4 linked regions of the Astyanax mexicanus genome follow. The protein of the gene in region 1 purifies or fractionates together with the protein of each later gene. This does not show direct contact. Links are inferred from orthologs where the notes say so. Each region holds a gene or a part of one and is shown in the gene's direction. Other genes may lie near its edges.

Region 1 (8,115 bases):
CAAGACTCTGCATGTACATCCAGTTTATTTTCTTTTGTTTTTAGAATTTGGGACAGATGTGCAAAAAGGTGTGCAAAATGTTCAATCTCCCACTACAAAATAAAACCAAATAACCTTCACATAATCCATTATCATCTTACATTAAAATAAACAGTTATAGTAGCACATAAGGGAGTCTAATGAATAAATACTGGGAATTCTTGATATTTTAATGCACCTAAGTCTATGTTTTAACTATTTTTTTATTTTAATTTTAGTTAATAGCTACTAGGTTATTTTTTTAGCTAGCCAGCTATGCAGAACCAAATCTGAACCGAAGGCTAGCTTAATATAATTTACATTTCTAAGAAGGTTATATTTCTAGACATACTGTAGGCTATGGGTTAAATTCATATAGAAGTATAGAAGTTGGCCTTAAAGGGTTTAAGGAGTTAGTTCACATGAACACATGGAAAAAAGACAGATGACATGTGATGAACGTGTGAACTTTTAGATGTGCATTAATGTGGATAAAAAAAAGATAAAAGAAATGATAGAAATGAAAGAAAATATAGGATTAGCCCCCTTTAAATATGAATACAGAATATGCAAACACCTATTGCCTTTTTTTTACATTTCTTTAAGAAAAAAACAGTCCATAACATAACTATATCAAGTGTGTGTGTGTGTGTGTGTGTGTTGTGGTATTATATTGAACAAGGCCCAAAATTTCAGACATACAAAATATCAATATTTATTTTCAACCCCTTAGGCCCTATGTTGTAGCTCATAGTTTTGTAGTTTAGTTTTTACCTCTCATAACTAGCTATACCACAGTCATACTTAGGGTAAGTTTAATAGCCCCTACAATAGAACCCTGTGGGATTCAATAAAACATGCAAAACCATTTCTTCTTCTTAACTGAATGATAATCCTAGAATACAGAATCTTCAAAGACTAAATGCACATTTTCAAATATTTCTTTGGCTAAATCAAGTCTATAACATATGCTCTATGTGTGTTTTTAGTGTTGAGTTAAATGAGGTCCAAAGCTTCATTAGGAAAACACCAGAGAAGACTGCAAATGTTCTGGAAATGTTGTCCCAGATTCCAGAAATTCGAAATTCTTCTGTATATTTTGGGGAATACAGATTTAAATATACAGATAGAGCACATATGACAATTCACAGTCTATTTGTAGCTTAATTTAACATTTCAGCTCCTCCTCAATGGGCATTCGCTCTGTTCGCTCCTCTGGTCATCTCTTCCAGGTGTGCACGATGCCTCTCCATGGGTCCACATGGCCCAAAATGGCGCAATGGCCATGATGGCAAGGTGGCAGCCTCTGCAGCCTCATGTCAATTCTCTCTCTCTCTCTGTGTGACACCTACACAGTCTCTTTTTCCTCATTTCTCCTTCTCTGCCCCCCTCCATCTGTTTCACTCTTTCAGTGTTGACCACACAGCTCATCTCCTTGGGCCTCTGCTGGAACCCCATTGTGCAACGCAGGCAGCTTTTTGGTTTTCCGGAGTCTCTGAAAAAAACATGTAGAAGGGAAGGAGAGATGCTGCAGTGATGGCATGGGCCCCTGATGGCTCGTTTTTTCAAGGTGCCAAGAAAAGTCACATCTCTCTCTGGTTTCTGTTGCTGGCTTCCTCCGTTCGGGGTGAACCGGGTTTATCTGGGTGGCCAAACAAGCGGGAAATGGAGCAGAATGACACATGGAGATTAGCAACCACAGGCCAGGACCAGCCAACACATGGGCACAACCGTTAGAGCTCGCTCGCCCCGCCATCTACGCCTGTCATATAGACACACACACACACACACACACACACACATACACACACACTCGCTCACTCACTCGCTCAGTCATTCACTCACTCTATCCAAGAGACTCTTTCAGATCACACATACATGTATACTCAACCACATACACACATACAGAGAAGAAGCTGTAGCAGAGTGGACTGGCTTTGTGGCCTTTGCGCCTTGACCTTTTGACCTTGCAGCACATATTGGCCTGTAGTCGAAATAATCTTTCAAAAAAAATGAAGAAAAGAATATGTTTGATCAGATTCACACTGTGGACAAGCTGAAATTAAACAAACTTAAATTCAACTTAAAAGTCAAATTGAAAAGTTGAACACTTTTTAAAGCTTATTAAGTTCACAGTTCAGTCTGCCAGCCCAAATCAGATTTTTGGCATATCTACTGTATATTGTATCCAGAATGGTTTGTGATAGTTTGAACAGCCGGAATCCACATGAAATATGATTTTTTTATTTGTGAATTGGATTCAAACCACATTTGGAGATTGCTTCAAATGTGATACAAATATATGTACAGATCTGTCACAGTCTGGACACTCTGGATGCTGAATCCAGAATGAGGGAAGTGTGGGGGCACAAGAAGAGCTCTAAAGATTAGTTACTGATACCTGTTATTAATGCTTAACTCATTTAAGTAAATTAGTTTATTTAATTTACAGTTCAGGCTGTGTTTACACTGCAAGCTCAAATCTGGATTGCATATCTAGATTGTATCCAGATTAGTTTATAAAAGTCTGGACAGCCAGAAAAAACCCATACAGGAAAGGTTGTATCAGAGCACAGTTAGAAGACCTGAATAAGAAAACCCTAATTTCTGAGATGGGTGTCTGGATTAAGCAGTTCCAAAAGGTACAGTACAGTGGTATAAGCTTAGGCCAGGCTTATATATTCAACACTTTACTAATGATAAGGCCACAGTGCAGTGAACACACTGATAAACACTGCTTTACAGTGTTTCTGGTTAGTGTGATAGAGGTCAGGGCAGGAGGTCAGGGCACCACAGAAAAGAAAAAAAACTATTTGCAAGAGAGCATGTACTTTCTACTAAGATCTTAGCATGATTTATTGTAATATATTTATTTAACACACAACATAGTCTACAGAGAGTATATTATATTATGGCTACACTTCCTTAAGGCTGTAAGTAACAGATGCACGTGTGTGTGTGTGTGTGTGTGTACGGAGAGTGCCGGGAGGAGGGGGTGCAGTGGGCTGCAGTCTTCCCAATCCCATCGTGCACTTCTCACCCACTTTCTGCTACTTGTCTGCTAGACCTCAGTTTATAACGGTAAATGCTGTTCTGAATCATGTAATTGCTATGCTATTGTTGACTGATATGCCTTGCTGTTGTTGTGGCTGTTTACATTGTTAAGTGAAAATTGTCACTTACCTACCATGAGACTGGTTCTGAGCCATTTTAGGCACCTTCTGGTAAATTTCACTGTTCACTGGTATTTGGGTTCTTCCACAGAACGCTTCTCAGTGCTGTATAAGTGAGTCTTCTGCTCTGGTCCTGGAGGGCTGGTGTAAAGGATGTAAATGTCAGGGCTCTCTGGACTCTACCGATAAGTTGTGGAGCTACTTTGAGCTTGGATAATGGTGTAAAAAGCGATTTATCTGCAGGGGCAAAATATGCCCCGTTAAAACCTATTCTAACCTGTTTGGCCAAATTGCATTGAAATACTGGTTCTCAGAAAGCTGTGGTTGAACGGAGGTGGGCTATTCAACTAAAGTTATTACTTTTTATCATGTTCATGTTTTACTACACCCAAAGTCCATTTTACACCGGAGTTCTCCATTAATGTTTCACCACTTTATTTACTCTATTACTTTTAAAAGACCAACATATTCAACACAATTTTTTAAATTTACAACACTGAAACATAACATTGCAATTTTGTTTTAGTTTTTTTTTTTTTTTTGCAGGGGGTGGTTGCTAATATGAGCGGATCCATTTTCATATTATATGTTGATTACACTTATTAAGGCAAGAAGAAGAAGTTTCATACTGAAAAAAATACTTCTAACTATTTTTCCTAGAGCTTCAGACGGGTCAATTTGACCCATACAATAATAGGAGGGTTAAATCATGGCAAAGACTTGGAATAGATTGGAACCTAAATTCAGTGATTAGGATAGGTGAGTTTAGTGATTAGAAAGGGTGAGTAAATAATATAATAATATAATGTATATTATACAGCTCTGGAAAAAAGAGACCGCCTAAAATTCAGTGGCATAAAGTTATCCAAAAGCAGTGTGTAAGACTGGTGGAGGAGAACATGATGCCAAGATGCATGAAAACTGTGATTAAAAACCAGGGTTATTTTACCAAATATGGATTTCTGAACTCTTAAAACTTTATGAATATGAACTTGTTTTCTTTGCATTATTTGAGATCTGAAAGCTTTGCATCTTTTTTGTTATTTCAGCCATTTCTCATTATTGTCTACAAATAAATGCTCTAAAAATAATTATTAAATGCGAGAAATGTTGTCCGTAGTGTAAATAATAAAACAACAATGTTTATTTTACTCAAACATATACCTATAAATAGCGAAATCAGATAAACTGATTCAGAAACTGAAGTGGTCTCTTCATTTTTTCCAGAGCTGTATATCACATTATTGTTGGAGTAACAGCGACCCCGCGTGCTTTGCTGAAGCACGTGCAGGTAGACGTCATCCGCTCGCGCCCTCCAGAGCTGTTGTTGCTGTGAGTGAAAGTAGCAGTGCCGCGGGTAGTTGCGGTGGCTCCGGCGGGCGGCGGAGCGGTTTTAGCTAATTTATCTGAATAATTTAATAAGCAGTAACTCAGCTCCGGTACTGTAGCACGTTTATATGCCGCTCCTGTCGGTAGACGCTGTTTTTATCCGCTTATTTACCTCAGTTTTGTGTGGAAATGGGGGCGGAACCTTAGCTCGGTTAGCATTAGCCGCGGTAACGGTCGGACTGCCGGAGCGCCAAGCAGCGTTTAAACACAGCTGATGAAGCAGAGAGACAGACAGCTGAGAGAAAGAAAGACAGCTGAGAGAGGGACAGGAGGGACTATCTGAACCGAAGGACGAGTTAAAAACATAGTAAGTGATACTTTTGTGGTGTTATTCATGTTTAACGACACAGTACTCACATTAAAAGTTGCTATATACAATACCAGTCAAAATAAGGACACACCTCTTTTCAGTCAGTGTGCTTTTTCTTTCTGTTTATGATTTTTTTATATTGTACATTCATTATTTAATTTGTAATACTATATTAAAGTTATACAGAAACACATGCTGAATTATTCTGTAAAGAAGAAGTTAAACAAAGCAGAATATGTTTTAGAATTACTTTAGATATGACAAAGAAGAATACACTACTGCAACAAAATGAACATTAAATTGTATTATTGTATATGATATGGCACACCCCTAACTGACTGAGATATAAAAAAATATAAGAATTTTATCAGATTTGTAACCGAAGTCAGTGATGTCATGGTTCTAATAATGCACTCCAAATATCTCCATATATCCAGGATTAAAGTAAAATAAATTATACTGGCAGATATAATCTGTCTATAGTAGATATATAACAAGAAATGATAACATTAACATTTTTCTTTTGCTAAAAACAGCAAAAAAGTAGTACCCTGATGTGATAATATAGGGGTGGGTGATATGGCACCATATTTCAGGGTATAAAATCATCCACAATATTAAAAAATGCTGGCGATGTTATTGCATACAATACGATATGTCACACTCCTGCTTTAGATTCTACTAAGTAGGTTAGCACATTCACATTCACAGCCATCTTTGAGGACAGATCTGCACGCTCTTCGTATTTTAATCTCAGTGTCTTCATGAAGGAAAGTCACCTGGAATAGTTTTCTCAGCTTCTTGAAGGAGTTCCTGGAGATGCTAAACAATAGTTGCTTCTTTTCCACCCAAATAAGACTTAAGGGCTTTGACTTGTTTGTTTGATTATTTATGAGTTTTTGTTCTTTCCTTATAGTATGCCTTTTTAACACTGACGCTTGAAATTAAACAGTTTTTTTGTGTTACAGTTTTTTCTTTTTTTATATTTAAAAAGCAGGATTTGCTGAGGGATTTGCCGTGGGAGTTATCGTCATAATGGAATCTGCATCAGATCCCACTCCACCAAGAGCACATAAAGGCTCTTCTCGTTCTCCAAAAAAACCTCAGCAAAACTCTGCCAAAGTAAGAAATATTCACCTTTTTAAAAGCTAAAGCCAAATGTCTGTTTAAAACAAATTGTCAGTGTTGTGCTGTGGGTTTACTTGTCAATCCGAAGCTCAGCACAGGAGCAAGGCTTCATGCGTCGTCCACCAAGTTTCCCAGAGCTCCTTTCCACTGAGTCTTCTGAGTTTGAAATGACCAAAGATCCAGTCGTCATTAAGACATCAATATGAGGCCAGAAATTGTGTTTACTGATGGTTTTAAGTAGCCGATTTCAGTATTGGGGAACAATGTGCCACATCTTACATGCAGTTCCAAAACAAGCAATAGTTTTAGTCAAGCAAACGTTAGAGACAAGATCATTCTTTTCTCTCACTCAGCATTACTAGAGACTGCTGGAGTTGTTAAGCAAGATTAGTTGCATTCTTTGTAAATTTATATCTTTGGCGGTAACAGCCTTCTTAAAGTTTTTTTCTGACTGACGTTGCATGGAAGTGTTTTAGATTCACAGTCGAGTGTAACAATATATACATTACGTACACTGTTATCAAAAATTGATAATAATAGAATTTACTAAACCGTCAGCTTAATACTTATTAAAACACATATTTTTTTTAATAGTGGTATGTTGTGTGATGCTTATACAATTATAACATTAGTACAAACATTAATACAAAGACAGTTTGGTTTATTTCCCCAGTTTTATCAAATTAATAATTCATTGATTGAAAAAATAATCAACAGTTGAAATGATTATCAAGATAATTGTTAGTTTCAGCTGTACTGAAGTGAATTGAGTACTTCTTAATAAGTGGTACTTTAGGAACAAGATTGAGAACAACTCACTTAGTAAAGCCTAAAAGCAAACACGTTTCAGTGCCTGGATTTCTATTGTTTCAGTTAATTGTAGTGATCCATTAGATTAGCTATATAAGAGACCTTCCCTGATACAGTGCTGAGCTTTGTATAGAATAGAACAGGTTAACTTGCAAAATGTGGACCTGAGTTAGATAATAGGAGATTGGTGAAGTTTATGTGGAGCTTGTGTGATGGTTTGTAATTAACCTGAAGCTTCTTTATCTCAGAGAGAAAACAGCAAACCCAACCACAAGCAGAGTCTCCAGGACGCCAGGAGAAAGGGCAGAATGGACCGAGGGAAAGCAGAAGAGGAGATGATCAATAAGCTCAAAAACATTGTGCGTATGTTAGAGTGCATTTTGGTGCAGAATTTTAATTATATGACCTATTTAGTTTATTTTTTCTCATTTTGTTGTTTTATTTTTTCCACTGAAAATATAGCATTTAGATTTTTGCACTGCTTGAGATTTTTTGTTCTATTCATAATCATATAACGGCATGCAAACTGTTCATATGATAAGTAAATGTCATGTGAGTTTAGTACAGTAAATAAGTTCTGAACAGTATGTGAATGGGTTTGTGTTTATTTGCTTGCAGGATTTGCGTTGTAAGCCTAAAGCAACTGGAACAGGCCTGGTTTACTCTGAAGCTTTTACTCACCATCGCTGCCTCTGGGACACCAGGTGACTGCAGTATTGTATATGCTTATTCATTCTTAATAAAAATAAGTGAGTAAGTGTGTAAGTGTGAGGGTTTTTTTTTTTAGACTTTTGTTGTTTAAAGAGGTTTGTTACAGAGGTTTGTAAGCTTTGTTATTGCTTCATTCTTAATGATTTACTTGTTGCTGCTTAGTCAAAGTTATTCTATAACAGTAGCAGTGGGTTAACACATCTACATTGTTTATACTTGCATTGTATTTTAGATCCACTTAACAAATATAATTTCAGAATGTAGTCCTGTATCTGTTTCTCTACATACTCTATTATCCTCCTTTTACCCTGTACTTCAATGGTCAGGACCCAGAGGATCATCCTCAGCACTGCAGTGACACTGACGTGGTGGTGGTTAGTGTGTCAGAGTGTGTTGTGCTGGTACAACTAGATCAGACACAGCAGTGCTGCTGGAGTTTTAAAACAGATAGACTTCAATCTGTAATTTTAGAATTACATAGTGCTCCTTTATAGACAGTGGAGCTGATAAAATGGACAATAAGTGTAAAAGTCCTATGTTTCAAGAAAAATACTAATATTTGATCACATCAAAAGT
Region 2 (8,473 bases), on another chromosome or scaffold:
ATGATGGGAGGAGAGCGCCCACAGCCTGCAGAAGAAAAAAAAAACAGAGGAAAAACGTGCACATGTAACACACATATAACTGTGGTATAGTGCTCTATAGTTTCTATTTAGCCCTGCTTTAGTTCGCTAGATTAGTGGACTCTGAAAAAGAACAGGATTTCTGCTCGTGGTCATGAATATTCATACATGCAAATATTTTGCCCCTGATTGGCTAACAGCACTGCAGCAGAGAACACCTACCTGCCTCCCGCAAAACAGTAAATTTTACAGCTCTAAAACTCAAAGGACAAAATGTTTTTAGAGATACAGAACTGAGTGCTAGGAAAAGTTAACCCTTAAACTGTCTGCTCTGTATCATAAAACTCTGCTTGTAAAACTCAGAATTCATCGGAGATCCAATTTAAACCTGTAGTTACCGTCTGAATGCAAACACAGACACAGTGCCCAATACATTCTAACATTTAAGGCAGGTTTATAATGGACACATCACGAAAGATTATAATGCATGTAATAAACCAAATTTTTTTTTTTTTTACTTTTTACTTTTTTTTAAAAGCTAAAATCTGCTTAATTCTGCCTTTCAGTTATCAAATGCTTCCTCTTAGTGTGAAACCATATACAGACTTCCCTTTTAAACAATATAATGACCTGTGATTGACAGGACCAGGGGTATGAAGACTGTAAACACTGCTGCATATCTGAACTTCTGAGCAAACCCATGACACTTTATATACTGATCATGTGACAGTGCTGGCATGCAGTGCTGAAGTCACAGATCTGTAGGAGGAGGAGAAGAAGTGGAAAGGACTCATTCCTCAGTGATTTCGGAACAAAGCCAGGTTGCGACACCCTCTCAGCGCAGATGCTAAAGCAGCTGATTAAGAGATAGCACAGATTTTGAGGGCACGTTCTGAGCATGAGTGTGTTCACACTGCTTAACCGAAGTGTGTAATGTGTTTAAAGTTCAGGAAAATACAGATAAAGAACGAGAGTCAAACATACATTGTAACATCTAATGATTAAACTATTTATTTTAATATACAGCTCTGAAACAAAATAAGAGAGCACTTAAAAATGATGAGTTTCTTTGATTTTACCAGTTTTACCATAAAAAAAACTCTGGAATATAATCAAGAGGAAGATGGATGATAAAAAACCATTAAACCACCAAACTGAACTGCTTGAATGTTTGCACCAGGAGTAAAGCAGCATAAAGTTATCCAAAAGCAGTGTGTAAGACTGGTGGAGGAGAACATGATGCCAAGATGCATTAAAAACTGTGAAATGTTGTCTGTAGTTTATAGAATAAAACAACAATGTTCATTTTGAGCAAACATAAACCTATAAAAAGCAAAATCAGAAAAGGTGATTCAGAAACTGAAGTGGTCTCTTAATTTTTTTACAGAGCTGTATTTATGGCTAATACACTTTTTAACCAATAAATTTCCATGACTTTTCCATGCCTTCAAAGACATTGCAAAGACTGTTATTAGTGTAAAAATGTCTTTATTTCAAAACTATTTCAAAAAAGTGTTGTTCGTCTCGCTGCCTCCTGGTGTCGCAGTGTTGCATGTATAAATATTCATAAGCAAGAGCCGAAATCCTATAGTTTCTCCCAGCCCTCCACTCCTCCACCTGACTAAAGCAGTGTTATACCAGATCACCAGATGATTTTATTTTTATTTTTCACAAAAATTAGCTCACATGGCCTTCATTCATACTGGAGACACAACTAGACGATTTAAAATGAATGAAAAAAAAAAACCAGATCGATTAAACATTTATTAAAATAGAACAAGTGATTAAATTTCCTTTTTGTTCCAGCCATAAATTCCTACCTATAACGGTTTGTTCTTACCTGAGACCACCATCGCCTCATTGGGACCACAGGTGTAGAACATGTTGATACTGGATCAGACCTGAAAAATAATTCAGTACTGTACATTAAATCCACCTGTGCTGACTTACTACTATTTTTATAAGACAATTCAATGGATTTAATGAGCCAGATCATGTAAAATTCCACAGATCAATCTCTATATGAGGGAGTGAGGGATATCTCGTTGGTGAATTTTTAGCTGTGGCCAAATCACATGACACTTCTTTCACTAGATAAGCAGCTGTTTCTCTCTGGACACTTGTGTGGCTGAAGGCATGCAGTCCCTCCCTCTTCCTCCATTCATTTCTCTCTCTCTCTCTCTCTCTCTCTCTCTCTCTCTCTCTCTCTCTCCATAATATCCTGTCTATACGCCTCAGTTCATTTCAACTACACAAAAAGAAAAAATCAACAAACCACAACCACATGATTTGTCCAGACTTGCGTGCGAGATTAAACCTCAGAGTTTCCACAGTAGAAAAGCTGAGAAAACCCACGTCTTTAACAATGTAGAACATTTACAGCAGCCAAAAAAACTCCACATTTAACAGACCAAATGTGTAATAATACACATATTTTCATATTTGATATCAAGGATAAGAGTTTAAAAGATTTTGATCATACAGAGCTATATTATATTGTAGGCTACATATAGAATTATCTTACAAAGGATGGGTAAACCCCCACATTTCTATTAATATTTTATTATATCTTTTCATGGGACAATACTAAAGATAAAACAATTTAATACAGTGTAAAGTAGTTATTGTACAGATATCAGATATAACAGTGTAAGTTTGCTGTGGTGAGTCGGTACACACCTAAATAAAAATAATATATCTTCGGTACAATCGTTTAAAATGATCTAATTTGCTTTATATAAAAATGCTTTTTTATACACGCATAAAATCATGAGCAATAATTATGCTGTCGACTTATTGTACAGAGTATTAAACGTTTTAATATTTCAATGCCAACGGAAGAATTAACTTTAATAACAGATATAACAGTTCACCCAGCTTTAAAGGTAACTTTAATGTGTTTATTGCATTGTTATGTTATCATATTGTCATTATCTCAATAGCATAAAAAGGCTTGAAAATAAAATATGACAAAAATAGTTTTGTTCTACGTAAATTAACTAGGTAACTTATATGTTATCTATCTTTTTTATAATAGTACTTATACTTAACGTTACTTATAGAACACACAAAAACCTGAACAGCCTTATAAATCTACTATTATATTAACTTTATCCAATATATAACTTTATACAAAAAACTGAACCAAAATGTAATCTGGTAACAGGTAACTGTGGTTTTTGTAGTCCTGGGGTGGATTTTTACTTTCTGGACCTGGACTACACACCCCTGTTAGCTAGTTAGCTAACTATACCAACCTATTACACGAAGAAAACTTGGGAATTGGGAACAGAAATATAATGTTAAACAGCGGTAGGCTGTAAATACATAACCTATAGTTCAAAAGGACATTTAGTTTGCTGATTTTACTCTCTGTCTATACGCGTGCTGTTAGTGAGTAACGTTAAGTTTCTGTTAGCTAGCTAAGCTAGGCTAACTAGGCTAGCTCATCAAAAGCCATTAGCTAAATCAATGTAAACAAGCCAACAGGCGACCGTAGCCCCTGACTGCGCTAATGCTGCGGTTATTCTGAATTATATTAAATAATGTAGTTAAACTGGGGTTTCTTACCGACAGCAGGTCTTTAGCAATGAGCTGTGGACTGTGGAAAAGGTTTCGCAACCGCGGAAAGTCTTAAAAGTACCAGTTTTTGTAGCAGCAGCTGCAGCACGGCACAGAAAACACAGCGAATAGCACACAGACGTAGCCGCGCCCATTTACACACTCACACATACACTTACACACACTCTCTCACACACACTCTCACACACACACACGCACACGCACGCACGCACGCACACACACACACACACACACACTTACACACACACTTTTACACACACACACACATACACTTACACACACTCTCTCACACACACTTACACACACACACACGCACACGCACGCACGCACACACACACACACACACACACACACTTACACACACACTTTTACACACACACACACATACACTTACACACACTCTCTCACACACACTTACACACACACACTTACACACACACACACACACACACTTACACACACACTTTTACACACACACACACACACACACACACACACACACACACAAAACAATACAACAGCGTCCCCTGTAGTGCCTCTTATGTACATTCACTCTAATAGATAGATCGCTTCAGTTTCTGAATCAGTTTCTCTGATTTTATCTCTGATAAAATTAACATTGTTGTTTAATTTTATAAACTACGAACATGTCTTCTGAATTCCAAATAAACATATTGTCATTTAGAGCATTTTTTTGCAAAACTTTCATAATGCAACTTAAATAATGCAAAGAAAACAAGTTAATATTTTAAGAGTTCAGAAATCAATATTTGGTGGAATAACCCTGTTTTTTTTATCGCAGTTTTCATGCATCTTGGCATCATGTTCTCCTCCACCAGTCTTACACACTGCTTTTGGATAACTTTATGCTGCTTTACATTTCAGTTTGGTGGTTTGATGGTTTGTGATCATCCATCTTCCTCTTGATTATATTCCAGATGTTTTCAATTTGGTAAAATCAGAGAAACTCATCATTTTTCAGGGTCTCTTATTGTTTTCCAGAGATAGATAAACAGAAGTAAAGAAAGTGAAAAATAGAAAGAGTGACAAACACAGAGAGATACATAGAGAGAAGTAGAGAGAGACACACGTAGAGAAGGAGGGAAAATAGAGACAGAGAGAGAAACAGGGATACACAGTAAGACATAGAAGTAGAGAGAGAAGTAGAGATAATGAAAGAGAGAAAGAGACTGAGAAGTAGAGAAAAGTAAATAGAGAAGTACAGAGAAAGAAGAAGAGAGAAAGAGATAGAAAGACAGTAAGAAGCAGAGAGATGTAGAGACACAGAAAGAGAAATAGAGAGAAGTAGAGAGAAGTAGAGATACAGAAAGAGATTAAATGTGAGTGAGAGGTAGAGAGAAGTACAGATAAGTAAAGAGAGAATTAGAGAGAAAGAAAGAGAGAACTAGAGAGAATAAGGGATAAGTAGAAATATGTAGAGAGAGAAGTAGAGAAAAGTAATGAGCTGAGTGGAGATAAAGAAAGAGAAAGAAAGAGAGATAGAAGTAAAACGAATTAGAGAGAAATAGAGAGAAGCAGAGAGAAAGAAATATATATAGAGAGAGACTAGTAGAGAACGGTTCACATTAGGCCCCGCCCACGTCTCGCGCTCGGTCAAATCAAATCGCTCCACTGCTGCTCGGCCCCGCCCTCTTACTAGCGGAGCCTCGTTCTGGAGAGAATCCAGAATTATAAAGCCTTTGTCCGGCCAGACTCACTACAGCGGAGCCACGCCGTTACATCCGACCAGAGACCCAACTCCTGCACTTCACCTGCAACCATGAGAGAGATCGTTCATATTCAGGCCGGCCAGTGCGGTAACCAGATCGGTGCCAAGGTAAGAGGATATGCACTGTTCTCCTGGAAAAAAAAGAATAAAAAACGACCAACATGCCTTTAAACATGCTTATATGCATCTTGAAGGGGCTTTAAGATGACAATGAAACCCCCACACCAGAGGGGTGGTCTGGTGGCCTAAGCTGCTCTTTTTTTTTGCACAATAATATAAAAAACAATAAAAAATATTAATTTTAACATGCTTCTTTAGCTTTTTTTTACTTTAGAAATGTTTAAATGCATTTTTAAATATTAATGTAGCCATATGCATAAATATATATATATATATATATATATATATATATATATATATATATATATATATATATATATATATATATGCAGCAATGTATCTTCTATCCATTATTATCTAAGAGAACCATATAGCTAGGTCTGTCTGTATTAGTTAGTTAACGTTAGATGCAGATCAACATGTAGGTCAGGTTTAACTTCTTAATCTAACTATATCTTGTATTTTATGCATTTATTATATGTTTTTTTGACAAAAAAACAGAATAGTAGTTGATATTCACGCATTCAGTGAATAAGTTAATTAATTTAAAGTTTATTTAAAAAAAATTATTGTGAAAAAAATGATTGCAGCATGTTTGTATGAAAAAGCAAAAAAGCACTCACAGAATCCCTCAAAAAGTACAAATAAATATCTTAAATTCGTGATTTTTCCTTTCCTTTTCGGTTCCTTTCACTCCCTTTCTCTTGCTGTCTTGCCGGCTAACGGGCGTGGCGCGAGCTCCACACTGTCTGTCTAAAGCTAAGCTAACATTGTCTGGTTCGGAATTTTCCCGTTCCACCTTAAATTCTGCAGCGGTTCCATTCAGGCGCTCTGCGAGAGGAATTGGACCTAGAATGGAACTGCTGCAGAATTTAAGGAGGAATTGGAAATTCCGTCAAAAAGCTTCGCTAGCGCATTCTGCTTCGTTACTAGGCGATGGAGCTGAGGCAAATGCGGGGTTAAAAAGCTGTCAGCACGTTTTTCAGATTAAAAAAGGGTCTTTTTCACCCATAATCTGTTTGTAATGGTTTTTGTTGCATTTTAAGTCGTCGTTTTCTGTATTTTTGTGTGAATATGGATAAATTTGGTGCAGATCAGATGAATGAGAGTGGGAAGGAAGGGTGGGGCGACACAGACAGAAAACCACTGACAAAGAAAACTACCTTTATCTGGAGAAAACTCAACAATATTTATACAATTATGCACAATAAATAATAGTTTAATATAATCAACCTCTTAATTTATTAAAACAATATTATTTTACATATTTTTTCTACATTTTTTGGACAATAAAAGCTGAAAATGTCAGTCTATGTCAAATCACAGACTATGGTAGATAGACAGCTAAGAGGATCTATTGTAATCTGCTATTAACCCCCTTATAGTTTCACTAATACACTAAAAAAATACAAATGCCAACAACAGCCAGCTTCATTAGTGCATTGTTATATATCTGTTATAACTATTTGGATGGCAATTTATTATAAAGGGCTCATGAGAAACGCAGAGAGTCTATTGATCCATCTCATTATGAAGATAATGGCTCCACATACTGGGCGTATTTGAGTGAACAGGCATTGTATTGAACCGGGTTTGGGTGGGGAGGGGCGCAGGCTCCAGCAGATGGAAGATGAGGGATGGTAATGGGTCTCCCAGCTGCTTCATCTGCAGGCCTGTGGCTCAAACCAGATTTAGTCTGACTAACCGAGGAAAAAGACAGGGGTTATTCCTGCCTGCATATCACTGCCGTCTCACCCGCCCTGCTGAAAAATCCAAAACCAGCTGGTCATCCAGAGAAAACACAGCCTATGGTCAAGACCTAGTTAAGGAGATAGCCTACCATCAGAGCTGATCATGAGCTGAATCAATATCAATATCTATCAATTTTCAATTGTAATCACAATTTCAACCTTTGCAATACTACCAATATTGTGATATGGAGCTAATCACAGCATCGGGCAATACTACCGGGTTTCAATACTACCGATATTGGGTTGCGATATTAGCGATATTGTGACATCTAACTAATCGAGGATTGCAGTACTGCAGAGATTGTGATATATAACTAATCACAGCATCGGGCGAAATTTTCAATACTAGCAATATTGTGATATCTAACTAATCACAGCATCAGGCAAGGGTCGCGATACTACAGATATTGTGATTTCGAACTAATCACAGTGGACGAGGGTTCAATGTTTACTATATTGTGATATCAAACTCATTACAGCACATGCAAAAGTTTGCGATACTACCAATAATGTGATATCTAACTAATCACAGCACCGGGCGAGGGTTACGATACTACTGATTCACAGCATTGAGTTAGAATTAAGATACTACCAATATTTTCATATTTAACTAATCAAGGGTTTGCAATACTACTAATATTGTAATATCTAACTAAATGAGGGTTGCAATAATTCCAATATTGATATCTAACTAATACCTAACTAATCATATCATCATCAGGTGAGGGTTGCCATACTTCTGATTTTGTGATATCTATCTGATCGAGGGTTGCGATACTGCTGATATTGTAACTTTAAACTAATGTGGAGGGACCTTTACAATGATTACACACATTAAACAAAATCCAAGAAGCAATACCAATTACACTTTCTACGCTATCCGACATTTAATAGTCTGAGAGTCATGCATATCACAATACGCAGCAGTTTAATTGCTGTTGTTGTTTTTTCCTGTTTGTAGACAGGCATGTGTGGTGACAGGGCAGAACTCTGGCTGCTTATATAAGTTTTAATTGATGCTCCTGATGACAGTGGGGCTTTGCCTGCGTGGTCTGATGGAAGTGATGGGAGTTGACCATGCCACTCAGCACTTCCCTGCTGTTTGTCCTCATTCTTTCAAAGCAATTACTCCCTCTATACCTTGAGATCCTCATTTTGCAGTCCCACTCTTCCTTTACTCTCACTGTCGTTCAGATCGAGGTCATTTATGCAGTCGGGCGGCTTGATTATAACTCCATATGCTGCTTTTTGTTCCAGATTAAATCCATGCTCC
Region 3 (7,993 bases), on another chromosome or scaffold:
TTTAATATTACAGTGTGCAATATTATATGATATCAATTATTGCATTGGTTCACAATTATGGTACACTGTAAAAAAAAAAAAAAAAAACTTAAAATTGTCCGTAATGTGATTTTTTAGGTCAGCTGAACAAAACATATTTAATTGCAACATAAACTATAGCAAACTAATTGCTAAAGCTAACATATTAGCTTACTTGTTTTTTAAGTTCCTCTATTTGTCCAAATGTTTTTTTTTTTCAGTTCTGCCAAACTGAAACCTTTCTAGTGTTTATCTCAGTTTACAACACACATGATCCAGCTAATCTGCTAAGTAATGATTCCTTCCAAAGGTAGTACATTAGAGCAGAAACCCACTAAAATGTGCAGGGCAATGGCCATTTTAGGATCTGAGTTAAAACTAGTACATACTCATCAACCACTTTATCAGAAACCATTGTAGATTTAACTTTCTGTAGTTAGAGCTAGAGACAGTAGCCCGCCTGTGTATGCACAGTTTGTACGGACATCAGTCTCAACCTAACAGTGTCAAACTAGCAGTGTAAAACCCCCAGAAACACTGTGTCTGCTTCACTCGTATCAGCTCTATTATCCAGTTTAACAGTGACACTGCTGTGCTAAAGATTAATTAAACCACCACTCAAATATGTGTGTTGATATGCTGGTCCCCTGCCAATGATGACAACTAATACACAGCAGATATATGGGCAAATTCCCATACAGAGATTAAGCCTAGCCTTTGACTACACAGCATTTTAAACTGAGATATTTACTTAAACAGAAAATACAATTATATAGGACTAAGCATAATCCCTCAACAGCAAACACCATACTGCGCAAAATGCACTTATTTAGCATCCACGAATACATTTAAGAACCGTTAAGGATTATATTTCTGTTTTAATTTATAACATGATCAGGATGTATAATCAGATATTAAGAAAACCTTCATTAAATTTTAAGCACTAACAGAAATTTGCAGCAGGGCTTCAAACAAAATGTTCTTTATTTTTATATCTGTGTGGGTTTTGGCTTCCAACCACCATCCACCATAGGACTCCACAGTCCCATTTCCACACCTTGGGTTGTCAGGTATACAACACAACAGCACGCAAATAGTTTGCTGCAGCCATAGAAACAGACAAGCTGTCTATTTTTTTTCTCCTGACTAGGTAATCCCTGAGCGTCAGTAAGGTTTAATAACCATAACTATGTAACCCAATGTACAGCATGTTTTTACCCAGTGCCATCATCAGCATGACCCGTTGCATAGAAATGTTTTGCACCAAGTTCCTGCAGACGTTTGTCGATGGTCTTTCCACAGTTGCAGAAATTGGCATAATTTGTGTCTCCCAGCCCTGAGAGAAATACAAAAACAAAGAGCATTGATTTAGTCAGTAAGAAAAATGCTGTCCCTGGAACATCTGGAAGAATGCAGGTTATGAGTGAAATCATCTAGCACAGTTAAACAACTGTTCCAAAATGGCATTTTGTTCAAAAGTGTTTGACTCATTTGTGCAGGGCTGGATTAACATACAGGGTAGGCAGGGGACCACCAGTATGCATAAAGAGGCTCATTTCTTAGCTGGGGAGAAATTGAAAAGTCATTTGGTAATAATGGTAATAATGGCATTAATGATCGACAGGAACAAATTTATTCAGTGCCTACATTTAACTACAACACATGACTACTAAAACTGTATGATTGCACAGATAAGCTGTGCCACTAATACGACATACTGTTCATATCCCACAGGTTCAGTGTTGTGTCCACATACAGGCATCTATAATTTACCCAGACTATTATGCAAATCACAGTATTTTTGTGTAATAGTTTATGTTGCAGTTTAAATGCATGCACTAAATATTCTGTACTTCAGTATTTTGAAAGGTCTTTTTTGTTTTATTACAACTGTGTAACATTATTTATTATGTCACATTATTATATTATTTTTTGTTTGTTTCCGCTGAATGTTTGAAACTGAACATTTATACAGTCGTATCTTTTTAAAATAATTATGTTTTTCCATATTGCAAATGATATCGCAAAAATACAATGAAATATATTAATATTACTTTAGGGGCATATTGCCCAGACCTACTTCTAAGTACATTTTAACATTTATACACAATATTGGAACTTTGCATACACAATACATGTATACACAATAAATATATATATATATATATATATATATATATATATATATATATATATATATATATATATATATATATATATATATATGATTAAATATAAGAAAATGTGTTCTATATACAGTATATTTTCAAAACAAAGTTTTACAAAGTATTAATGGTCATATTTGAGGTTTATATTCTGTAGTCTATGGTATTCTTGATAATACTGTTAAGGGGGCCCTTGGAAATGCTATGTGTACAGAGGGAGGCCTGCATGCACGGGCGCACACATACACACAGTAGCTTACCTAGCAGTGCATAGTGCAGATGAGAGTAGTGATCACCGGGCAAAGACTTGTTCTTGATTTTCTTTACGAACTTCAGTGCTGTGTCCGGAGGCTCACCATCTCCAGTTGTAGAAACAACGAAAACAACAGGGCCGTGTTCTCTGTCCAAGTTATACTACAAACAGTTGTCAGGAAAGCACATCTGTATTAAATTCCCTAGACCCAGTGGATTTTAAGTATTCTTCTTTTCTGGCAGTATATCATACCTTGTCTCCTTTACTCAGACAGCTGATCTTAGCTAGGAATCCATGCTCAGTTGCCTGCTCAGAGATCTCCTCCGCAATAGACTGAGCCTGGCCTCTCTGTGAGCCGTACAAGATCAGGAACCGAGGTGCAACTCCACAAGGCATGATCTGCACCCTGTGTACAGAAACAAGGCTGCATGTCATTCAGATAAATGTAAAACAGTCACTTCAGAACAGAACAAACTGTGTAAATATACACATTATAGAATTAAATATTTGATACACACATACAGTCATGGCCAAAAGTGTTGGCACTCCTAAAAGTTTTACAGAAAATTATTGCAATTACACATGTGGTTATACACATATTGTTTCCTTTGTTTATATTAAAACAACAAACAAATCAAAGGAAAAAAACAAAATTTATATAATTTCATGCAAAACTAAAAATAGGCCAGACAAAATTATTGACACCTTTTAAAAATTGTGGGTAAATAACTTTGTTTCAAGCATGTGATGCTCGTTTAAACTCACCTAAGGCAAGAAACAGGTGTGGGCAAAATAAAATTACACCTGAAACCACATAAAGGCGAGAAATTGACTTAGTCTTTGTGCCAGCTGTGTGAGGAGTTGAGAACAAAAACTATGGAAAACTTTCAACAATTTAAGGTTACAAGCCTATCTCCAGTGATCTTGATTTGCCAAAATTCCACGGTGCCAATAATTTTGGCCAGCTCATTTTTGGCATTCTGTGTGAAATTCTATCAATTTTCTTTTTTTTTATTGCATTTTTGCTATTCCAATACACACAAAGGTAATAGACTTGCATTAAAACATGTGGGATGTAGTAATGTAAGAATTTTCTGGAAATTTTTCAGGGGTTTAAGCAATTTTGACCATGACTGTATATTTCAGTAGCTTATGGGTGTTCAATATTACCAAATATGGGTGGTCCAGGTAACTATTTCTACACTATTTTTAACAAGCTCAAAGTAGCTCCACAACTTATTGCCCCACCCCTAAACCCCTACATCACCCAGTGCCCACCCCAAAAGACTATGCCACCCATTTCTTTAGCCGTTTTCAAGTTTGAACTGAGGCTGGAGCAAAAACGTGAAACATACCATTTAAAACATGAATAACCCAAGTCATGAAATTATTGAAAACGTATAGACGAGATACAGTATCATTATTATATTATGTCCTGTGCCCTACTAGGGCCGTATTGCAGCCCCGAGTTTGAGAGACCACTGTACTAGGTTACATAACACACTCAACTAGCTAGGTTGTATTATCCAGCTACCTAATACCACCAATTACCTGAATCTATCCCCCTCCTTTAAAACACAAACAACAGTGGTAGCTAGTTAGCTCCAGGTAGACAGCAGCAACCTAACGTTAATCACAGATACGCTCAGAGTGCTCATGATTCAACTTTAATTCAACATGAATCAACTTCATGTTTATGTTGATTCATGAACACTTTACCTCTCTGAAGGTAGCTACAGGGTGTCAACATGTCAACAGTGTGCCCTCAAACAGCGTGAACTACACAGAGCTACAGTGTAAAATGAGCTACTCGCAGAGATTAACTAATTTATCAATCCAGCCTTACCTTCATTATATTAATGTTCATAACCGGGGGAGCATTACATCAGAATAACGTGTCTTTCCTACCGGAATACAGATAAACTGCACACAATACGATCTACACGTGTTTGAGGCTGCGCGAATAACCAACCTATTACTACAGAGGCGGGTGAGTCACAGCGCGGACTCAGCTGTACTGAAGTAAATCCACATGCCGTGCAGATCGTGTATCAGAAAAGCGCGGAAATATCGCGATACTGGAATAGTCCATTTACAGTAGGTTTATTAAAAAAAAATATTTAACGTGTATATTCTATACTTAAGTACTATTTTATTATTCTATGCAGTATTATAATGTTGTATAAAGTGTTATAAGTTATATTTATTTGCACTAACATGAATAAAAAGATACATTAATGTTGAGGTTCTCCCGCGGGCAGACTGCCTTGGTTCGGTCCACGCCGCCCTGAGATCCTTCCAGAAGTGGCCGGCAGGACCACGCAACTCTCGGTCTGAAATATTCACCAGATTAAGATTAACCCAGAGAGCTGAGTGAGTTCATCTGCTGGGAAAGATGTCTACGCTAGGGACCCTCGCCTTCGACGAGTATGGAAGGCCGTTCATTATCATTAAAGACCAGGATAAGAAGTTCCGGCTGACGGGCCTGGATGCTCTGAAGGTAAATGCTAGGCTAACACTTTGTTTGAGCTGAAGCCGCCCCTGCGGACTCGCCCTTCCCCTTACTGTGATTTATATATTTAATATGTGTGCTGTATTTAATAAACTGAGTAAATGCTGAATTCTGGTTATGCGCTGCTGGTTAACCTATCTGTTTGTTTAATTAGTTAATTAGTTAGTTATGTTAGTGGTGTCTGTAAACCAGTATGCTGGCCGGTGTTCTATCGAATTGTGCTATCCATCGAGATGTGCTTCCCAACACAATTGCGCATGCGCAAAACTATGTTTTAATTTTTCATTTTTAAAATTTTTTTTTAAATAGTAAAGTTAATTCTGTACTACGTATGTGCATTAAACAACCGGAGCCCCCCTGACATTATTTGTCTGAGTGTTACAAATGTGTAAACGACTTTTGATAATAATAGTAAAAGTAATAAATGAACAATGAAAAAAATACTGCTTATAATCATCCCTTATAACTCTAAACTGTATCCTAATACATTGATTCAGGCTTTTAACCATCCTACCAATAGCATGAGGCATAACAATATGGGTTTTTTCTGGCATTTTAAAATTTTAAACATACACTAGGATAGCATGGTCTGACAGGGTAGCACAACTCGACAGAACACCCGGCATGTCTATAATACCCATGTGCTCGGCCTGTGGCTGTTAACGCTGGCTAAGCTAAGCTAACTGGAGGAGCAGCAGCCACAGCCTAATCCACTGCGCTACTCACTCACTGCACACTGCTCCTCAATTATAGCTAGTTTAGCTAGGTTATATATATATATATATATATATATATATATATATATATATATCTTATTACAAGTATCTTAACCATAGATAATTTCAGGTTACAACTTTTGTGCAGTTTGTAGCAAAAATAAAATTCACACTTTTCTCGTTTCCCATTAAATATCTAATGGAGACTGATCATGTCTGCCCAGTAAAATGTATTTTAATTAAATCCTGATTATATGGAGCGCATTATTAGTGTCCTAGCATGGCATGAGCATCCGAAACAACGCTCAGTTAGGGGTTTTACTGTCATTCTGTATGCAATAATGTTGTTAAGCAACATATTATTTTAGGGCCACATTTCAGGCTAACTAACGTAATGTTACAATTTGTTTTGCCGTTTTTAGCAAAAGTAAAATTTCAACTGTTCTCGTTCCCTATTAAATATATAGTAGAGACAGCTTGTTTGTCCATAATTTTTGTTAAATAAAATATATGTTTATTTTGTTGCAGTAGTGTATTCTTGAAATGACTTGTTTAATATAATTTTTTTCCACAGTGCCAAGAATATCGTTATTGCAAAAAGTCCCTAAAATATTGTGATCTTATTTTGGGGCCATATCGCCCACCCATACTCTACATGCTTATAGCAAGCAGTTTTAGACCAAAATGATTAGGAACTCAAGGCCCAGCTCAGTTTTACTAGTAAAACTGCAATAACTCTGACTAATCCATGTAATGCAGTTTTAACAGGTGTAATCTTTTATTACAGGTAAGAAAATTATTTTTATTGGTAAAATTAAATCTACAGATCAGTAAAAACATTCAGACATTTAGTCACATTACCAAGACCCCTTATCCTAATTTAATTTTAAATTTTACCATGCATATGTTACCCTTGATTAACATGGAATTTCATTCTTTGTTTATTTAACTGCATTTTGTTCTAGTAAAAATCCAGTTACAGATATCTACAACTTCTGTCGTTCTTGTAGAAATTGTATTTTCATTATAAACACAGTAATTCTAACTGCAATTAAAAAAAATAATGAATTAAATTATTCTAATTAAAAATTGATTTATTATTATTATTATTATTATTACAAGAGGGAATTTCAGTAAATAGGCTTATGCATCTGTCAAACATTTTAAAGAACACTCAATTTATTATTTTTTTTTGTGCTTGTCAGAATTCATTTACTGATAAATGGACAGGCTTTAGAATCATCAAAAAATGCACCAGTGATATCTGAAAACTAGATTTTAGAAAACTAGATCTTGCAGTTTCTTTTAGAAACTCTGAGGTTTTTAATAATAAAGACATTGTATAGAGCTTTAATTAATTTGTAGATTTGATATTGTTACTAAAATAATTGATGGCTGTAATCTAAAATTAGTTTTCACTAATTTAAACTACATTGCAGAGATATTAAGAGGCTATGACATCATCTTTGTATTAAATGCATATTACATAGGTTTAATATGTGTTTTGCTTTTGCAGTCACACATCATGGCAGCAAAGGCAGTGGCCAACACCCTCAAGACTTCACTGGGTCCAAATGGTGAGATACTTCAGTTTGGTCACATTCCTGTTATGTCCTGTCTTCAATTTTAATTAGTAAATTTGTATGTTTAGTAAGGAAGGGCCAGAATGGAAATTTTGTGTTGATTCTCATAACCAGTATTTTTGTGCTCGTCTGAGATGTTGATATATTAGCTACATTAGATTAATTTTGCTTGTGCATAAAGTCTTGTCATTAGTTAGCAAGCACTTACACCTTGAGAAGTTCTCAAAGCATTTGTGGCATGTTAATCATGCATTTGTTGAAATCATGTTAAATTAAATATAAATGCTACATCAACATTGTATAGAGCAGGTTTGTCCTTTTCACCTCAAAGTAATCAAAATTTCTCACTTTAACGTGAGGTCTACATCTGATCTACAACCATGCTTTTATTTAGTTTTCATTGAGCATTTTTTAACAAATTAGGTGGAAGTGATCATCAAAGACCGAGAAGGGGTTGCTGCAGTTTTTTGACAACTGACAGCAGGACTGCAGATGTTCTGTGCTGTTAAACTCTGTATAAGAAAATCTGCCACTACCTAAAGTGACTTCCTTTTAAATGCAGGACTTGATAAGATGATGGTGGATAAAGATGGTGAAGTGACAGTCACCAATGACGGAGCAACAATCCTCAGCATGATGGATGTGGATCATCAAATTGCCAAACTCATGGTGGAGCTCTCCAAGTCTCAAGATGATGAAATTGGAGATGGCACCACTGGAGTAGTTGGTAAGTATATATTGGGTAG
Region 4 (8,165 bases), on another chromosome or scaffold:
CTTCCATTCCATTGAGTAAGAAACGTAGAGCATGAAAATTGAACAAAAAAGATTAAGAGATAAAAGTTAAGACATATAGGGAGTTTTTGCCTTTTTTTTCTGTGGTTACTTTTTGTAGGGAAAGTTAAAAGGAGCTTTTATTTTGAGGCAAGATGTTTGTATTAGTCCGTAGAGCTGCTTTACTTTTGTGAAGAGCAGTAAATGACAGTGAAAAGACTCAGGTCTGTGAGTGACTTATAAATAGGCTTGTTGGGAGTTGATCTTTCGCTTACGGCCATACCACCCTGAGAACGCCCGATCTCGTCTGATCTCGGAAGCTAAGCAGGGTCGGGCCTGGTTAGTACTTGGATGGGAGACCGCCTGGGAATACCAGGTGCTGTAAGCTATTCCATCTTTCCTTTATTTTTTACTCCGTTCAATCCTTGATGTCACAAATTTTTACAAGGCTACACTGTGTTTACTCTTCATATAAAACACTTAAAACCATATACAGATTAAATACTCACTTAAAAGTTCTTTCATTTTTCTGAAGGAGAATATTCTTTCTTCATGCTAATAAATAAAGAAAAAATGCATTATATTTTATTTTCTTAACATAGGTACAGGTCGACTGACTCCTGTTCCTGGGGCTCTACCACGCTAAAGATTTCAGATTTAACACACCTGAGTCTAGAATGTTCACGTGATCCTGAAGGTCTTAATTACCTGGATACAGTGTGCTGCGGACTCAGGCTGTTTCGATGGCAGGGGTGAAAAAAATTAAAAAGGCACCTTCTGTAGGACACAGGGCCTTTCTGTAAATGTATGCCAAGTATACTTTAATGTGTGTGTATGATTTTATTTATTTATTTCTCAGAATATTCTTTGTAAATATGATTTTTTTAATTGGGCTTTTTTTTATTGGGCCTAATCTGAAGCTTCCATTCCATTGAGTAAGAAACGTAGAGCATGAAAATTGAACAAAAAAGATGAAGAGATAAAAGTTAAGACATATAGGGAGTTTTTGCCTTTTTTTTTCTGTGGTTACTTTTTGTAGGGAAAGTTAAAAGGAGCTTTTATTTTGAGGCAAGATGTTTGTATTAGTCCGTAGAGCTGCTTTACTTTTGTGAAGAGCAGTAAATGACAGTGAAAAGACTCAGGTCTGTGAGTGACTTATAAATAGGCTTGTTGGGAGTTGATCTTTCGCTTACGGCCATACCACCCTGAGAACGCCCGATCTCGTCTGATCTCGGAAGCTAAGCAGGGTCGGGCCTGGTTAGTACTTGGATGGGAGACCGCCTGGGAATACCAGGTGCTGTAAGCTTTTCCATCTTTCCTTTATTTTTTACTCCGTTCAATCCATGATGTCACAAATTTTTACAAGGCTACACTGTGTTTACTCTTCATATAAAACACTTAAAACCATATACAGATTAAATACTCACTTAAAAGTTCTTTCATTTTTCTGAAGGAGAATATTCTTTCTTCATGCTTATAAATAAAGAAAAAATGCATTATTTTTTATTTTCTTAACATAGGTACAGGGCGACTGACTCCTGTTCCTGGGGCTCTACCACGCTAAAGATTTCAGATTTAACTCACCTGAGTCTAGAATGTTCACGTGATCCTGAAGGTCTTACTTACCTGGATACAGTGTGCTGCGGACTCAGGCTGTTTGGATGGCAGGGGTGAAAAAAATTAAAAAGGCACCTTCTGTAGGACACAGGGCCTTTCTGTAAATGTATGCCAAGTATACTTTAATGTGTGTGTATGATTTTATTTATTTATTTCTCAGAATATTCTTTGTAAATATGATTTTTTTAATTGGGCTTTTTTTTATTGGGCCTAATCTGAAGCTTCCATTCCATTGAGTAAGAAACGTAGAGCATGAAAATTGAACAAAAAAGATGAAGAGATAAAAGTTAAGACATATAGGGAGTTTTTGCCTTTTTTTTCTGTGGTTACTTTTTGTAGGGAAAGTTAAAAGGAGCTTTTATTTTGAGGCAAGATGTTTGTATTAGTCCGTAGAGCTGCTTTACTTTTGTGAAGAGCAGTAAATGACAGTGAAAAGACTCAGGTCTGTGAGTGACTTATAAATAGGCTTGTTGGGAGTTGATCTTTCGCTTACGGCCATACCACCCTGAGAACGCCCGATCTCGTCTGATCTCGGAAGCTAAGCAGGGTCGGGCCTGGTTAGTACTTGGATGGGAGACCGCCTGGGAATACCAGGTGCTGTAAGCTTTTCCATCTTTCCTTTATTTTTTACTCCGTTCAATCCATGATGTCACAAATTTTTACAAGGCTACACTGTGTTTACTCTTCATATAAAACACTTAAAACCATATACAGATTAAATACTCACTTAAAAGTTCTTTCATTTTTCTGAAGGAGAATATTCTTTCTTCATGCTTATAAATAAAGAAAAAATGCATTATTTTTTATTTTCTTAACATAGGTACAGGGCGACTGACTCCTGTTCCTGGGGCTCTACCACGCTAAAGATTTCAGATTTAACTCACCTGAGTCTAGAATGTTCACGTGATCCTGAAGGTCTTACTTACCTGGATACAGTGTGCTGCGGACTCAGGCTGTTTGGATGGCAGGGGTGAAAAAAATTAAAAAGGCACCTTCTGTAGGACACAGGGCCTTTCTGTAAATGTATGCCAAGTATACTTTAATGTGTGTGTATGATTTTATTTATTTATTTCTCAGAATATTCTTTGTAAATATGATTTTTTTAATTGGGCTTTTTTTTATTGGGCCTAATCTGAAGCTTCCATTCCATTGAGTAAGAAACGTAGAGCATGAAAATTGAACAAAAAAGATGAAGAGATAAAAGTTAAGACATATAGGGAGTTTTTGCCTTTTTTTTCTGTGGTTACTTTTTGTAGGGAAAGTTAAAAGGAGCTTTTATTTTGAGGCAAGATGTTTGTATTAGTCCGTAGAGCTGCTTTACTTTTGTGAAGAGCAGTAAATGACAGTGAAAAGACTCAGGTCTGTGAGTGACTTATAAATAGGCTTGTTGGGAGTTGATCTATCGCTTACGGCCATACCACCCTGAGAACGCCCGATCTCGTCTGATCTCGGAAGCTAAGCAGGGTCGGGCCTGGTTAGTACTTGGATGGGAGACCGCCTGGGAATACCAGGTGCTGTAAGCTTTTCCATCTTTCCTTTTATTTTTTACTCTGTTCAATCTATGATGTCACAAATTTTTACAAGGCTACACTGTGTTTACTCTTCATATAAAACAAAAGTTCTTTCATTTTTCTGAAGGAGAATATTCTTTCTTCAGGTACAGGGCGGATCACTCCTGTTCATTGGGCTCTACCACGCTGAATATATATATATATATATATATATATATATATATATATATATATATATATATATATATATATATATATATATATATATGGTGAGTAAATTAGATTTTTATTTATTGATAATTATTATAATGTAATACTTTTCCACACCACAAGAGGGACACATTTCTTTACTTACTTCTTCATGAACGATACAATAAAACCATGTCCGTGAAAGAAAGTAAATTAATGTGTGTGTGTGTGTGTGTGTTTGTGTGTGTGCGTGTGTATCCGTGTGTGTGTGTGTGTGTGTGTGCATGTGTGTGTGCATGGGTGTGGTAGTGGGGGGAAAAGTGGACCTAACTACCCAGGACCCGAGTAGGGAGAGGGGCCCATTTTTTGTGATGTTTTTATTTTTTAATTGGGCCCTCCAATTTACTATTTATTAATTAGTCTTTCAAATATATTGATAACATCAACTGAATGAATGAACCTTAGTCACAGTCCTCTCAACATAGTGGACATTGAGGGGGCCTCCTCCTGGAGGCGCAAAATGGTTTAGTCCGCCCGACAGCGAGCGGCTACAGGTGTAATGTCCAGAATGCCCAGAATGAATGACCTGGAGGCTAGAGACATCATGCTGCCCAAAAAACAGAAATCAGGTTATTAAAAGAAGTAAGAAAGAATGAGGGGAGGCAGCTGTGGACGGCTTTCTTTCCAAAAGGTGAACCAAGAATGCTTGTTATGAAAAATCCACTTAAAGTTAACTAAGTCCATTTCAGACAGCTGCTGCTGATGTTTTTATGCTCACACGAAGTTGTTAGATTAGCTAACAATTAATAATCATGTTAAATAATTGTGATTATGATTTTTGCTGAAGATTGTAGCTTAAAACTTTATGTTTTTTTCTTATTTTAGATAAATACCCCTTTTTTTCCTTTTTTCTCACGTTATTTGTGTACTGGCATGGATAGGGGCCCACTGACATTGAATGTGTACAGGGCCCAGAATTTGCTGCTACGCCTCTGTGTGTGTGTGTGTGTGTGTGTGTTTTTGTGCATGTTATACATGTCGTTGAGTGTGACCAACAAATACTTAAGTAGACAAGCTCCTTGCAGGACCGTTACTTAACTGTGGGCAGAACTAAATTCTGATTGGTTAATGGACGATGGGTTATGATTGGTTGACAGAAAGAGAACTGGTGTGGTACGGGCCATCTAGTGATCACTTTAAGGATTACCTGATTAGATGCTTTAGAATCTGATTGTGCTAGCGGGATGGGGCTCCGACAGGCTGTTACAGAGGCTACAGAGCGATGATAATTGTCTGTTTGACAGTTTGCGTTTTTAAAAAATTTGATTGGCTGGTTGAGGTGGTTTTCTGTTAATGATTGGACGCTTAAGAGCTGTATGGCTCTTTAGCGGTTGTCTAACTGCTGTTAAAGTTACTTATTTCAGTTACTGAAGGTAGTATAGTGCTCTGATTGGACGTCTGCGCGCCGTATGCCGCCGCGATTGGGTCTTTGGCAGTTTACTGGGCTCTGATTGGTTCTCTTGCGGCAAGGGGCTGGGCTGTGATTGGTCGGTGTGTTCAGAAAGCGCGGTCCGCTGGGTTCGGTTGAGTAGAAGCGGCTCCTGCAGCAGCGCGGAGGGAGACAAGGCTGAGTTTAATACATCAGTAAACTGGATTCTTATGAAACTGGACGCGCCGGATTAGACATTTATTTCATCTGTTTGCGCACACAGGTTCCCTCGCCTCCCGCCCTTTGTAAGTGTGTGTCTGCTGGGGTTTGTGGTGTGTGGTTTTGTGGCGGAGCTCCGGTTCGTGTTGGCGGATTATTTTATCAGGGTCTGAGGGGAGGCTGCGTTAGCGGACAGGCTAACGGACTTTAGCCAGAACTACGGTCTTTTTATGTGGGTTAAAATCCGAATTTAAGCTTTTATTATTTGCTGGGTATCTAAAACTAATATGTTTAGGCTCTCGAGGCGGTTAAACTTTTTAAAAGACCGTTATTTCATAGTTTACCCGCGGTGAAGATGATTATAGTGATGGTGTTGGTGATGATGGAGATGCCGTAGCTAGGTTAGCAGACACGCGTAGCCTTGTGTGCTAGCTAACGGCATCCCCAGAACCACCACTACCAGCATTAAGATACATTCATTACTGTTAGCTAAATATCTTAGAAACCTTTATTAATATAATTTGTACATGCAACTTGAATATCCCGAGACTTTATTATGGCTGATATAAACTCTTTAATATGTTTTTGTTCTTAATGCTTTTATTAGCTAGCTAGGAGTTTGGTGTGTTGGCCTCAATTTATGCATCTGCAGCATTAGTGACCCATTTCTGCACTTTTATTTTTAGTACAAAATATAGCTAGCTAGTTACTTAGCTTGTTACCAACTTGGTCTCCTTCCACACACACATACATCTCCAGCTGTTTCTGGTTTCTGACCTATATGCTTCTTCTGACACATTTTCTCTTCCTTTTATTTTCTATTTTAAGCACCAAACTGATGCACAATTACACATTTTAAGCTGTAGGTCAGTAATGAGTGGACAATATTACGATTTTATCGTATAGTGATGCTCTAGACTCATTTAGTGAAATTAGCACTGATATAAGTCTACTATAGTATCTGAATAGCATTTAAAAAAGCTTCTAATGCAGTTATTACTCCAGTTTGTTTGCAGTAATAATCATGAATTATGTAAATTGCATTAGAACATGTTCTTTCTTGTGTTTTTAATTTGTATCTTGATGTAAACTCCTCTTTGAGAAATACTATTAATGATTGTTTTTGTATATCCATCACAGTCATAGACTTTGTGTTTAACTTCTGATTGGCTGTCTTCTTAATGTGTGTTGTATTTAAAGCAGTTGCTAACGCTCTTAAAACTGGAAATTGTAGTTTTTAGATAACTTAATCCCAAGGTCAAGTGTAAGTTTTTAACTTACTATATGGATTTCCATGTATTGGCCCTATGTGTGAAAACTATGTGAGGAATACGAAGGTTTTTAGTGTAATTTGCATTAGTACTGTATAAATAGTTTAGTTTTTAGGTTTCATTCATAATTAGAACATGATTAGAATCCATATGGACACATTACTCTGTGCAGGGGCTACACAAATATGCGACTCTATGGATGCTGCATAAAAAGAAGCTGCGTGTAGATGTTAAATGAATGACTTGATGTGTAAAAGACCAGACAAGACACCCAGTTTTATCATACTTGTTGGCCAGATATATGGAATGTGGTGTTCATCTTTAGCCCATTCATGCAGTGAGCACACCCACCAGTGTGTGTGTGTGATACCCTGGGAGCAGTGTGTGTAAAGGGCCTTTCTCAAGGGCCTACCAGTGCTGTATAGACAATTATATGTACAGTAGATGCTACTAGTGCATATTTTGGCAGTGTGCAAAGTCCTGCTGGAAAATGAAATCTGCATCTCCATAGAAGTTGTCAGCAGAAGGAAGCATGAAGTGCTGTAAGAAACCAACACCTATCTGTCTCTCGACTCTTCCTCCAGACTCTGGTCCCTTGAATTCCAAATGAAGTGCAAAATTGACTGATGGTCAGTGATGGTTTGAAGAGACATGTCATCTGCTGGTGTTGGTCCACTGTGTTCTATTAAGTCTAAAGTCAGTGCAGTGTTTTCCAAAAAAATCTTACAGCTCTTCCTGCTTCCCTCTGCTGACAACTTTTATAAAGATGCAGGTTTCATTTTCCAGCAGGACTTGGCACACTGCCCACATTGCCAAAAGTACCAATTGGTTTTATTGTCTGAGACACTGAATAAATGCCTAAAATAGATCACTGTGTGTAATCCATCTATTTATTATTAGTTTCACTGAACTGAGTTACTGAAATAAAGTAATTTTTTATGATATTCAATTTTTTTTGAGATTACGTACTAGTTATACGTAACTAAGCAGTTCTCTCGCTGGAAATCTAAAATAATAAAATTTCAACCTAGATAGTTCATGGCTTGTTTAAATGATATGTTTATAATTAAATGGAGTGATCAATTAATAAATAAGTTAAAAAATAGTTGCATTGTGGTGTTCTTGTTTCTTGACCTATCCCCTTTTTAAGAATTACTGTTAATTAACTGTGTTGGATTATCCATTACGGTCATTCAATTTTCAACTGGGTATTATCATGCTTGGACTGATGTATGCAGTGCGATTTGTTCTGATTGGATGATCTTTTAATCCATGTTCTCTTTTTCCAGTTTCGAACACTCTTATTAAGTGTACAAGTTATAAATAACTTTTGCTAAGTATTTTTTATGTTAAAACACTACATTGTAATGTGATATTAATAAGCTGTTTGATTGTGTACAGTAAATGCTTACTTCTGGAGGTTTTCAGTTTAATTAAGACTATAACAGTCATGTTTGGCTGCTTGGTAATAACAGTCTGTCTGAACTGTTTTGTTTGTGTAATTTTGGGATTTGCTTTAATTTGTTATCCATTTTATCCACCCCATGCTTTTGTCGTCTCTAATCTGATTCTGTGTTTCTCTGCAGGTGGCCTGTCTGTAGTCCCTAATGCCGGAAATGGCTCAGCGGAGCGGTCAGGAGGACCCTGAGCGGTACCTCTTTGTGGACCGGGCGGTTGTCTATAACCCGGCCACGCAGGCTGACTGGACCGCCAAGAAGCTGGTGTGGGTCCCCTCGGAGCGGCATGGGTTTGAGGCGGCCAGCATCCGTGAGGAGAGAGGAGATGAGGTGGTGGTGGAGCTTGCTGAGAATGGCAAAAAGGCTATGGTCAATAAGGACGACATCCAGAAGATGAACCCGCCCAAGTTCAGCAAGGTGGAGGACATGGCGGAGCTGACCTGCCTGAACGAAGCCTCTGTACTGCACAACCTGA

Evidence for each region.
Region 2: the proteins of hdac6 (region 1) and tubb5 purify together in Homo sapiens (affinity purification with mass spectrometry; 4 studies listed by BioGRID, with this or other methods). This does not show direct contact. The link is inferred for Astyanax mexicanus from reciprocal best matches to the Homo sapiens genes HDAC6 and TUBB.
Region 3: the proteins of hdac6 (region 1) and cct5 purify together in Homo sapiens (affinity purification with mass spectrometry, with the first as the bait; 3 studies listed by BioGRID). This does not show direct contact. The link is inferred for Astyanax mexicanus from reciprocal best matches to the Homo sapiens genes HDAC6 and CCT5.
Region 4: the proteins of hdac6 (region 1) and myh10 purify together in Homo sapiens (affinity purification with mass spectrometry; 3 studies listed by BioGRID, with this or other methods). This does not show direct contact. The link is inferred for Astyanax mexicanus from reciprocal best matches to the Homo sapiens genes HDAC6 and MYH10.

What each region holds. Positions count from the first base shown.
Region 1 is NC_064419.1:4,051,832-4,059,946, reverse strand, and holds the start of hdac6 (histone deacetylase 6), read left to right. Parts: upstream 1-4,508; 5' UTR 4,509-4,887; intron 4,888-5,884; exon of another isoform or gene 5,885-5,887; 5' UTR 5,888-5,925; coding exon 5,926-6,012; intron 6,013-7,076; coding exon 7,077-7,187; intron 7,188-7,446; coding exon 7,447-7,532; intron 7,533-8,115.
Region 2 is NC_064413.1:1,501,671-1,510,143, reverse strand, and holds the start of tubb5 (tubulin beta-5 chain), read left to right. Parts: upstream 1-5,278; 5' UTR 5,279-5,380; coding exon 5,381-5,437; intron 5,438-8,473. Other genes in the region: flot1b (flotillin-1b), read right to left, coding at 1-25, 1,859-1,901. UniProt on the Homo sapiens protein: Tubulin is the major constituent of microtubules, a cylinder consisting of laterally associated linear protofilaments composed of alpha- and beta-tubulin heterodimers.
Region 3 is NC_064408.1:92,085,038-92,093,030, forward strand, and holds the start of cct5 (T-complex protein 1 subunit epsilon), read left to right. Parts: upstream 1-4,713; 5' UTR 4,714-4,831; coding exon 4,832-4,936; intron 4,937-7,180; coding exon 7,181-7,241; intron 7,242-7,809; coding exon 7,810-7,974; intron 7,975-7,993. Other genes in the region: mtrr (methionine synthase reductase), read right to left, coding at 1,237-1,354, 2,444-2,597, 2,689-2,832. UniProt on the Homo sapiens protein: Component of the chaperonin-containing T-complex (TRiC), a molecular chaperone complex that assists the folding of actin, tubulin and other proteins upon ATP hydrolysis.
Region 4 is NC_064412.1:26,396,873-26,405,037, reverse strand, and holds the start of myh10 (myosin-10), read left to right. Parts: upstream 1-4,903; 5' UTR 4,904-5,048; intron 5,049-7,819; 5' UTR 7,820-7,840; coding exon 7,841-8,165. UniProt on the Homo sapiens protein: Cellular myosin that appears to play a role in cytokinesis, cell shape, and specialized functions such as secretion and capping. Involved with LARP6 in the stabilization of type I collagen mRNAs for CO1A1 and CO1A2.